Linked DNA regions of Ovis aries. The protein of the gene in region 1 interacts with the protein of each later gene in a pairwise test. Links are inferred from orthologs where the notes say so. Each region holds a gene or a part of one and is shown on either strand. Other genes may lie near its edges.

What was found.
Region 2: the proteins of KEAP1 (region 1) and HSP90AA1 interact in a two-hybrid assay, tested with the Homo sapiens proteins (2 studies listed by BioGRID). The link is inferred for Ovis aries from reciprocal best matches to the Homo sapiens genes KEAP1 and HSP90AA1.

Annotation. Positions count from the first base shown.
Region 1 is NC_056058.1:12,866,730-12,872,870, forward strand, and holds the start of KEAP1 (kelch-like ECH-associated protein 1), read right to left. Parts: upstream 4,150-6,141; 5' UTR 3,878-4,149; intron 3,535-3,877; exon of another isoform or gene 1,827-3,534; 5' UTR 1,780-1,826; coding exon 1,141-1,779; intron 1-1,140. UniProt on the Homo sapiens protein: Substrate-specific adapter of a BCR (BTB-CUL3-RBX1) E3 ubiquitin ligase complex that regulates the response to oxidative stress by targeting NFE2L2/NRF2 for ubiquitination.
Region 2 is NC_056071.1:64,570,148-64,575,128, forward strand, and holds the end of HSP90AA1 (heat shock protein HSP 90-alpha), read right to left. Parts: intron 4,796-4,981; coding exon 4,475-4,795; intron 4,307-4,474; coding exon 4,141-4,306; intron 3,967-4,140; coding exon 3,776-3,966; intron 3,668-3,775; coding exon 3,520-3,667; intron 3,359-3,519; coding exon 3,090-3,358; intron 2,808-3,089; coding exon 2,343-2,807; 3' UTR 2,192-2,342; coding exon of another isoform or gene 2,082-2,191; 3' UTR 1,392-2,081; downstream 1-1,391. UniProt on the Homo sapiens protein: Molecular chaperone that promotes the maturation, structural maintenance and proper regulation of specific target proteins involved for instance in cell cycle control and signal transduction.

The sequences.
Region 1 (6,141 bases):
AGCAGCCTGAGTTGCAGTGTTGGCCCACTACCTTCTAATTGTACCACCTTGGGCAAAAACCTAAAACACTCCGTGCCTTGGTTTTCTTCCTCTATAAAAGGAGGATTATATTAGTCGCTAACTCCTAGCAGGGTTATTGCTAAGGTAAATATTTCTTATGTGGCACTGGTCTATATAAATAATTTGTCACCCCACATCAGCGGGATCCCAGCTTCCTGTTACCTCAAGCCGAGACAACCCCTTGACACTACTGTTGTGCAGGTCAGTGGGACAACCCTGTTCTTGGGCCACCATCCTGGAAGCCATAAGTCCTAAGACTAATGTCAGAGCTTCTTGGGGCATCTGGTCAACCCCCAAGATGGTAGAGAAGGAGAGGCACAGAGACCAAGGGTAGTGTCCACCTAGCTGGTCCCAGCCACGGGAGGATGATTTTAAAAATTTCCAGAAGGGGGGAGTTCCCTGGTGGTCCAGTGGTTGGGACTCAGGGCTTTCACTGCCAGGACCAGGGTTCCATCCCTGGTCAGGGAACTAAGATCCTGCAAGCTGTGTGGTGTAGCAAAAAAAAAAAATCCAGGAAGGCACTCCAAAGCATACCTCCTCCTAGGATAGCTGGGAAGACTCAGATTTAAAGGCTGGAAATCACTTAGAACAGAGGCTGGCCCACACCAAGTACTCAACAAGCACTCATGTTCTCTACTCACAACTTCCTCCACTTGAAAATGAAAATGAAACAAAGATTAGTCTGAGCACAATACTCTGTGGACTAAAGAAAACCACCACAGTGTAAGGGTCACACTGGCCATTGACAGCATGTCACGGGTGTTCAATAAATATTTACTGACTGCCTGGAACGTCAGGCCCTGCTCAGGGCAGCCTACGGTGGAACTGCTGTCAGAGTCACTGCCCTCTGTCCCCACCTTTGACCCCAGGGAGCCCAGACATCCATGACAGTCTCACTTTCTTCAGCTGTTTCCTAGATTTGTCACAGACATCTAGACTGGGAGCTCAACCCTACTTTTCTCCATCTCCTTGCCTTGATCCTTCACCTCTCAAGGGGAGATGGTGATGACCACCTGTCTGTTTCCTGGCCCTCCAAGGCTGCTCTGAAGCCCTGGTGCCATGTCCCCATCCCTCACTCACCTCCCCAAAGTGCATGTAGATGTATTCCCGGGCACGCTGGTGCAGCTCCGTACAGCCGATCTGCTCAGCGAAGTTGGCAATGCCGATGGCATTGCTGGGATCCAGCTGCTGCACCAGGAAGTCGCTGCAGGCACGGACCACGCTGTCGATCTGGTACATGACAGCGCCGTTCATAACGTGGAGCACACACTTCTCCCCCATGGAAATGGACGCGGTGTAGGCGAACTCAATGAGCCGCTCCATGACCTTTGGGTGGATGCCCTCAATGGACACCACCTCCATGCCCTGCTCCCGCAGCCCGTTGGTGAACATGGCCTTGAAGACGGGGCTGGATGAGGCCAGCACCACCTTGTGGGCCATGAACTGGGCAGCAGGCGCGTCCTGGTACTTGACCTGCAGCGTCACATCGCATAGCTGCTGGCTGAGCCGCAGTTCATTCATGATGCCAAAGGCCTGCTTGGTGTGGTCCTCCAGGGTGTAGCTGAAGGTGCGGTTGCCATGCTGGGAGGGCGTCACCTCGGCCTTGCACTCGGTGGAGGCGTACATCACCGTGTCCCCTGCCCCCTCGGGGCGCTGTGATCTCAGGGGTAGGAATTGGGTATGGGCCCCGGCCCCGCTAGGCCTGGGTTCCGGCTGCATGGGGTTCCAGGTGACAAGGGACAACGCCACCACTGGCACTCAGGGGCCTGGAGGGGGAGAGCACAGGGCTGGGCACAGGGCTGGGGGCTAGGCCTTCTTTTCCAAGATAAAGTGACTCGGAGACCACTTTTCCTTCCCAAGCCCAGGTAAAGCAGTGTTCATTTGAGCTCCCTAACTGACCCATGGCCCCACCAGTCCAAGGGCCCACCTTAAATCCTAGGTCACATGGTGCCCCTCCCCTGCTCAGAATCCCCCCGACCACTCTCTGTGGCATGAAGAGTAAAACCAAACTCTTCAACGGCCTGCAAAGCCTTTCACAGTCAGCTCCCGTCCACCTGTTCCCTTTGCCCATTCTGTTCCAGCTCTCTGGGGTCCATCCCTTCTCACAGCATGTCCAACTCATTCCTTCATTCACCCCATCAACATTTCTCAGGCATGTCCAGGCACTGTTCTAGGCACCAGGGACACAGCAAGGAGCCAGACAGACATGCACTGAGCCCCCCTGGAGCCAACACTGGGGAGGAAAGGGCTATAAGTGAAATAAGCGACAGTGTAGCGTGCAGGTGTTTATTTAAAATCAGGTAGTCCAGGCCTGTCTTGGAGCTGGGACTAGAAGGATGAACTTATGAAGGGGGCGGGGCGGGGGGGGGTGGTTGTTAGCTTTCCAGGCAGAGGCAACAGTGAGTGCAAAGACTCAGAGGCAGAATGAGAGCTGACCTGGAGAATCAGGGAAGAGTGTGATGAGAAACACTAGTGAAGGGAGGGTGTCAGTGAACCCTGCGGAGTCTGGAGGGTCAGGGCGTGAGTTGGGTTTGAAAAACTCAAGCAAAGAGAAGGCAGGGGATCTACAAGAGGTTCTTCATCTTATTGTTCCCTGGGCTCCACTCAGAGTCACCTCCTCTCTGTTTTATTTCCATCACACCACTTATCAGGAATGGAAATTAGCTCCCTTGCTTGCTTGCTGATGGATGAAGGGTCTCTCTGGCCCTGAGCCTCAGGATTCAGAGGGCACGTAGCCCTGTGTGGGTCAGGGTCCTGCCCACCTTCTCCTGTGCCTCCCCTGCAGTCCGCCTGGGGCCTGGCACTACGCAGGGGTCACTAAGCTGTGGCTGGCTGACTGCCCACTCCACTGTGCCTGCCAAAGCACCCTCCTCTTCCACGGTGCCCTGGACACTGCTTGGCCGCCTCTCCCCAGCCGAGGCCCGGGCCTGCCTCTTGGTCTTTAGCCAAACGGTCAACGGTGCCCCCTGGGCACTGGACACTTCCCCCTCTGCCACCCCCCCCAACCCCCCCCCCCAAGAAGCGGTAAGTGGGGGGACTGCGCATGTCCCGCCGGCGCAGCCAAGGCCTAGAGAAGGGAGGAAGTGACCCCGCCGCGGCCTTTCCATCGCAAGCCCCGGGCCACAGACCAAGGTCCCCCCGCCACAAACGCCCCGGGATCCCCGGGATTCCGTCCGAGCGACGCTTCCTGGGCCTCTCGCTCCAGGATTCACCCGCCGGTCGCGCCGTCCAACAAAAGGTCCGGACTCGAGCCGCGCCCTCCTGGCCGTCCGCGGAGCCGCGGGAAACCCCGAGGCGACCGGGCCCCGCATCGCCCAGCGCTCCGGCCCCCGGCCACGGTCGCAGAGCACTCTAGACCCTCGGTGCCCTCAGCCCGGGCGCGGGCCGCTTCACTCACCCCGCCATGGCCGCGCTCGGGCTCCGCCTCCGTCGCCCAGGCCCGGGCGCCTCCATCGCAGCTCGCAGGGGGGAGGCGCGGAACGCGCGCAGGTCACCATGACTAAGCAGAGCCGGGAGCCGGCCGTGTCAGAATAAAAGTCCCCGCGGCCCCGGGCCTCGGGCGGCGGAGACGGCGGCGGGCCGCTCCCCACCCCCCCCCCCCCGCCCTTCCCCGCCCACGCTCGCTGTTGCCAGTTGCGCAGCCCCAGAGCGGCGTCCGCAGTGCCGATAATCGCGGCGGGGCCAAGGACCCAGCCCTGGGCGCACCCAGCCCGCGTGGTCGGAGCCGCCTAGAATCAAAGACCTGGGTTCGAGGCCCAGCGCTTCCCTGCACCCGGGATCACCGGATACCCCTCCCCGCCGCCGCCTGCGCGTTCACCTGCGTAGCCTCCGATACTCTCACCGCGGGGTGGGGATGCCAGGGGGCGCGGCGGTGGCTCCGGGCACGTTGGTGCCACCCGCGCACCGAGCTTCCGGGAAGCCCGAGGGGCCGTGGCCTGGCCCGGGGGCGGCTCCCGCCTGACTTTCGCTGTTGAAGACCCGCGAGCGCTTCCACTGTCCGGGGCGGCGGGGAAGGGGGGCTGTGGCTGGGCTCCGGGGCGGCGGGGCCTACGGGGTCGCGGCCGTCGAGTGGGGGGTTAGCCTCGGGACGCCCGAGAAGGAGGCGGGGAGAGGGCGGAGAGGGCGCGGCGGGGAAGGAGTCGTGATTCCCCGCCCTTCCCTCAGGTGCCCGGCGCCCATGGGCGAGGAATAGGGCGGCGGGCAAGGGCGCACGGCTAAGCCCACCAGGCCTGTCCCCCCACCCCTTCGCAGTCCCTTCCATCCGCCTGGTTTCGTCGTCTCAGCGCTAGTCCGCTTCCCACGACCTGCGCTTCTTTTAACTCCACACAGTGCAGGCCTCACGTTCAGGTGGCCGAAGGATCCAGACAGAGCTGTCTACCTACCTACTGGGGTTTTCATTGTTTTTATTTTTTATCTCCAATCTGGAGGCGCGAGGAGCTCGCAGTTGGGAATTCGAACTCCGGCTCTGCCACTCTAGCTCTGCCCGGCTGGACCTATAATTTAACCGCTCCATGCTTCAATTTCCTTCCTCTTAAAATGTTAACAGGGCTTCCGTGGTGGCTCAACGGTAAAGAATCCTTCGGCAATGCAGGGGACACAGGATCGTTCCTTGGATCGAAGAGATCTCCTAGAGAAGGAAATCGCAACTCACTCCAGTATTATTGCCTGGGAAATCTCATGGACAGAGGAGCCTGGTGGGCTACAGTCCATGGGGTCTCAAAGAGTTGGACACCACGTAGCAATAGATGTTAATAGTACAGGCACCTACCTGGTAGATTATTGGGAGAACTAATTGAGAATGCTAGCGCTCAATAAATATGAATGATTGTTATTTTTCATGGAAAGTGATACTGATTTTCCATTTATGCTCTTTGTTATATAAAGTTAACTTTTAAATGTATGTGGGTTTTTTTTTTTTCCCTCTTTTCTTTAAGAGCCCGTCCGTCTGAAACTCTAGACTGAACAGATACTGGTCTAAGAAAGGATTCCCCCTGCCCCCGGGGTGAATTTGGAAGATTCTGCCTCCCTGCTCTGGGTTTGGGATTAATCCCACGCAGAAGAAGGCTGGCCTGGGGTTCCTTGCTACTCCTCCCATGCCTGTGGCGGTGGCGAAGCTGTGGTTCTGAGTGGTTCCAGAGGTGGTGCCATAGCATAACTGCCAAATCCTGTATGGGGAGTGGCTGAGGCTGTGAGCAAACCCACACCCTTTTCCACATGCCAAAGGAAACCTCTGGTATATCTCAAAATTAACATCTACAAGCCCTGAGACCCAGCAGTGATATGTGCAGTAATTTATCCAAGGTACCCCTGCACATGTTTAGGAGGATGTATGTACATAGATGTTTATTGCAATACTGTGTTTAAATGCCAAATGTTGGACTCAACATGTGTGCATTCCTAGGGCCCTGATGTAATCTCTGCTATGAAATACTATGCAGCCAGTAAAAAGACGCCATTAGCTTTGTAAATGTTTTACCTCAATATTTTTAAATGTGAAAAAAAATGCTCTGTAAAGCAATTATTCTTCAATTAAAAAATAAAGTGACATAAAAAAATGTTATGGTCTGTGCCCCCTCCCCACCATCATATATTGAAGCCCTAACATAACAAATGATGGTATGTGGGCTTCCAAGGTGGCACAGTGGTAAAGAATCTGCCTACCAATGCAGGAGACTAGGGTTTGATCCCTGGGTCAGGAAAATCTCCTGAAGGAAGAAATGGCAACCCATTCCAGTATTCTTCCTGGGAAAATCCCATGGACAGAGGAGCCTGGCAGGCTACAGTCCATGGGGTCGCAGAGTCAGACACAACTGAGCGACTGAGCCCACATATAAAAATAAGTGATGTTATTTGGAGATGGGGGCTTGGGGAGGTAGATTTAGATGAGGTCATGAGGGTGGGACCCTCATGATGGCATTAGTGCCTTTATCAGAAGAAACACCAGAAAACTTGGATCTTTCTCCACCATGTGAGGACACAGCCAGAAGGCAGCTGTCTATAAGATAGGGAGAGAGTTCTCACCAGAAGCTTTCCATGCTGACACCTTGATCTTGGACTTCCAGCCTTCAGAACTATGAGAAA
Region 2 (4,981 bases), on another chromosome or scaffold:
TGCAGGAGCAGCAGGTTCAATGCCTGGTTAGGAAAGATCCCCCGGAGAAGGAAATGGCACCCCACTCCAGTCCTCTTGCCCATGGACAGAGGAACCCAGCAGGCTAGAGTCCATGGAGGTCACCGTCAGTCACAAGTTAGCAACTGAGCACATTCCCATCTTGCACCATACCCACCTCTGCTTCCCAGCGCTCTGTACACTCATCAGCGTGGGACTAGTTACATTAGCGTGAAGACTGGACTTGGCAGCAGTAGGTTGGGGACCCCTTGACAATTGAAGGTCAGCACCAGCCTGGTGTTTGTGTCCTTTACCTCATCTTCTCACCCCCAGGGGTGGGCACCTGTGGTCTCCGTGGTCCATCTCCAGCACAGGGCTTGCTGGGGGGCAGTTCCAATTACACGCCTGCCATTAACACGCCTTTCCATAATTCAGGGGGGAAATGCTCTGTGGGCATTTTTTTTCCACTGGAGACACTTTATAGAGGACTAATACTTTTAATTTGAATGGAATTCTTAGTCTCCTTACTAGAGGTGGGAAATAAGAGAACTTGTTTTTTGTCCTTCAATTATTAATTCCTGAACAGCAGGACCACTGGCACCAGACTAGCTGAGCCACAAGGGAAGCCCAAGAATACTGGAGTGGGTAGCCTGTCCCTTCTCCAGCAGATCTTCCTGACCCAGGAATTGAATCAGGATCTCCCATGTTGCAGATTCTTTACTATCAGGGAAGCCCTCCGGGGAGTTAAAAACTGCTGCTGCATTAGATTGGTAAGGATCAAAGAAGGTTATTGCTTACCCACCCAGGCACTTACTACCCACCAGCACTTACTATCCATGACAGACCTTCCAGTCTGTGGACTCTCCAGGCCTCTCTGACTCTAGGTCCAAATCCTGGGTAGACCTCCCACCAAGTACTCTAATGCTCACCCCTGCCCTCTCCAACTGCTGTGTGCTTATGTCTGTCAGCAGCCTCCTGGACACACCTTTCCTGAGGCTCAATAAAGAACCAGAGAACAAGCAGCAGAGACGGTTTCAGGTGGGAAGGTGTTCAGCAGCTGTGGTTCATAAGGGCAAGGCAGTAAAAGGGCGGTTATTACACATCCCGTTTCACCAATACCATCAGAGTGCAGCTCAGACATTGAAATTCTAAAGCACAATGATGTTATTATAAAGTCTAACACATGGACACAAAAGCAGCAAGTTCCATTCTCCTGTCTTTTAAGTATAGAGGCTCACCCCCAAACATGTGGCCTGAGCACCCTAAGGTCACAGCAGTAGGCTCTAGGGAGGCCACACCAACCACCTGCTCCCTTGACTCTCCTCTAGGGAAGAGGCGCACCCCTCATGTTTTACATTCTGGGACCACCCCCACAAGTAAGACATCACACATCATTTCTTTTAATTCATCTGTATTTGTTACAACTTTTTGAAGCAGAATGTGACTTGAGCACTACATTTCCATTCACAAAACTGGCTCCAAGTTACCTTTCCAGAGGCTTTACAACATGCCTGGGCAGGCTTATAATTTTGCTACTCTAAACAATATTTTTCTTTGGAAAACAAGCCCTATGTATGGACAGTGACTCCAATCAAGTTGGTTCAGCTTAACATACTAACTTCTAGAGGCCTGGCACATGCAGTCATAACTACAGGGGATGGAAGTTTTAAAAAGTATATCCCAGAAGATGAAAACTTGCTGTAATAAGTGTTTCTTTTAAACACCAAGGTATATACTTCAGAACACTTCAGTGACAGAAAATTTTGGTCTACTAAAGAATCCGCTTGATAGCTAAACACTTCAGACCACAAAGTTAACAGAGGTTACACACACCTTACAACAAAGGTTAACTACTTCCATCTGTTAAAATAAGCCAACATGAAACTAGGAAAAAACGAGCTCTGCTTTAGTGCTAAAAGTATCACAGTATCACACTTAGTATAAAGAAATCTTATCCTCCCCTTATGCAGTTGTCATGCCATACAGATTTTAAATGTTAACAAAAATAAAGAAATACTCGAGAACATATTGGAGGGAACGGAGACAGCGCGTTGAACACACCGCCAGGCGAGCCTCGGCAGCGCTCAGTCTACTTCCTCCATGCGGGACGTGTCGTCGTCTCCTTCCAGGGGCGGCATTTCCTCAGTGACTGCAGCGCTGCTGTCGTCAGCAGTGGGGTCATCCTCGTCAATACCTTGAAGGAAATAAAAAACACGGATTAAGTTTCTTCAAGCCGCATAATTAGTCCAACACTACAGGTTCCTCATACCCGCTTCTCAAGGCTGAGCGAATTAGAAGCGACATGACGAAAGGGGCTTATTTACCCCCTTTTAACTCATGTGACTTCAGTGTTTTGCAAATGGAAAAACAAGAGTGCCCAACTTTGTTGAAATTGCTGAAAGTTCACCCTTTTCAACAGTCATCTGTTTAGGTTTTCCCCCAATGGTATTACACATGGTACTTGCACAAGGCTTACCAAGACCAAGTTTGATCATCCTGTAGATCCTGTTGGCGTGTGTCTGGGGATCCTCCAGACTGAAGCCAGAAGACAGGAGCGCTGTTTCGTACAGCAGGATGACCAGATCCTTCACAGACTTGTCATTCTTGTCAGCCTCTGCCTTTTGCCTCAAGGTCTCGATGATGGAATGGTCAGGGTTGATCTCCAGGTGCTTCTTGGCTGCCATGTAACCCATCGTCGAGTTGTCTCTCAGGGCTTGCGCCTTCATGATCCGCTCCATGTTTGCTGTCCAGCCGTATGTGCTTGTGACAATGCAGCACGGGGAGGTCACCAGCCGGTTGGACACGACCACCTTTCATAAAAAAAAGGTATACAGCGATAACTGGGCACAGAGGTGTTCCATTCTCAGTGCTTGTCACCAGGTTTATTTGAATATTTAAGGAACTTGAGTATTAATGAATCAAATACTATTTGCAAATACTATTGCAAATCCGAAGCTTTAAGTTCCTTTTAAGTTCTAATGTCTTTAAAGATGTTAAGGACTATGTATATGTGACTTGTTCAAAAGACACCTAACACCCCTAAGAAGGGTTAGTAACCAGAAAATATAAGAAAAAAGATGGTATTCACACACCTTTTCAACTTTCTTCTCCAAAATGTCCTTCATGATTTTGCAGAGGTTTTCAAACTTTGTCTTTTTCTCTTCTTGTTTCTTTTTCTCTTCCTCATCTTCTGGAAGTTCCAGGCCCTCTTTGGTGACTGACACTAAGGTCTTCCCCTCAAACTCCTTCAGCTGTTGCACACAGTACTCATCAATAGGCTCAATCATGTAGATCACTTCCAAACCATGCTTCCGGAGACGCTCCACAAAGGCCGAGTTGGCTACCTGGTCCTTTGTCTCACCTAAGAAACAGAAGTTTTATATCTTTTAACAGCAGTCTCATTTATTTCGGTTAGATTAACTCCTACTAAATTATGTGTACCACCACACGGGTAGAAAACGTGCAACTGTTCCTATGGGATCACAAAAAGATCGACTGTCACAGTTATTGCCTGTAAGGTACCTGTGATGTAATAGATGTGTTTCTGGTTTTCCTTCATTCTTGTGCAATAGTCCTTGAGAGAAACCATCTCATCACCAGAAGCAGACGTATAGTACCTCAACAGCTCTGAAAGCTTCTTCCGATTTTGGGAATCTTCATGTATTCCAAGCTGAAAAGACAATGTTAGCTTTAGAAAGACTTTCTCTGTGTTCAATTATTTCAAAAGGAAAATCAGTTTGATTACTACTCTTAATAGTCAAATGTGTTTCTAACCAACCTTAATATTTTTAGAGAACTGCTCATAAAACTTCTTGTAGTTCTCCTTATCTTCTGCCAGTTCAGTGAAGAGTTCCAAGCACTTTTTGACCAAATTCTTCCTGATAACTTTCAAAATTTTGCTCTGTTGCAACATCTCACGGGAAATGTTCAGAGGAAGATCCTCAGAATCCACCACACCTCTAATGAAATCTGAAACAGACCAAATGCAGCCAGTCACTCCAAAGACAAAAACTGACAAATCCGTAAACCCAAAAAACCAAAGATGAATGATTTTCCCCATGTTTAGTTTAAAAACCAGGAGCTGACAGGATTAATCTCTTAGACTAGTAACAGTGACAGTTTCTTCTATCAGACTATACTTACTCAGGTATTCAGGGATTAGCTCCTCACAGTTATCCATGATGAAAACTCTGCGAACATACAGCTTAATGTTGTTCTTCTTCTTTCTGTTTTCAAACAGGTCAAAAGGAGCTCGTCTTGGGACAAAAAGAAGGGCTCTGAATTCCAACTGTCCTTCAACTGAAAAATGCTATAACAAAACAATCAAGATTAACACAGGGCAAATAACTTGAAGCAATAAAAAATGTCACGTATACCAGAGTTACCTAACAATGACTCTGGGCAAAGCATGGGGCATCGAGGAACAGAATGCAGCCTCCAACATCTGCAGAGAAGGAAGCACTTGGCAGTCACTCACCTTGACCGCCAAGTGGTCCTCCCAGTCGTTGGTCAGGCTCTTGTAGAACTCTCCATACTCCTCGTTAGTGATGTCATCAGGGTTTCTGGTCCAGATAGGCTTTGTCTTGTTCAGCTCTTCTTGATCGATGTACTTCTCCTTGATCTTCTTCTTCTTCTTCTTGTCCCCATCCTTCTTCTCTTCCTCCTCTTCATCTGAGCCAACGTCTTCTATCTCGGGCTTGTCATCAGACTCCTTTTCTTCTTTCTCCTTCTCTTCCTCTTTGTCTTCCTTCTCTTCTGCTTCATCATCGCTAACTTCTTTATCACGTTCCTTTTCCACCTTCAAAGGAGGACAAATCACGTCACCTCTCCACAAAACTGGGGGAAAAAGGCTAAAGGAGACTGCAGCACTTACACCAATACCACCTGAGAAACACTAGTAGCCAGAAAGCTACTCACCCATTTCTGAAGGATCTATTAACAGCCCTGGGAACCTTGACAGGAGTCGACCCACCAGCCCAGGAAA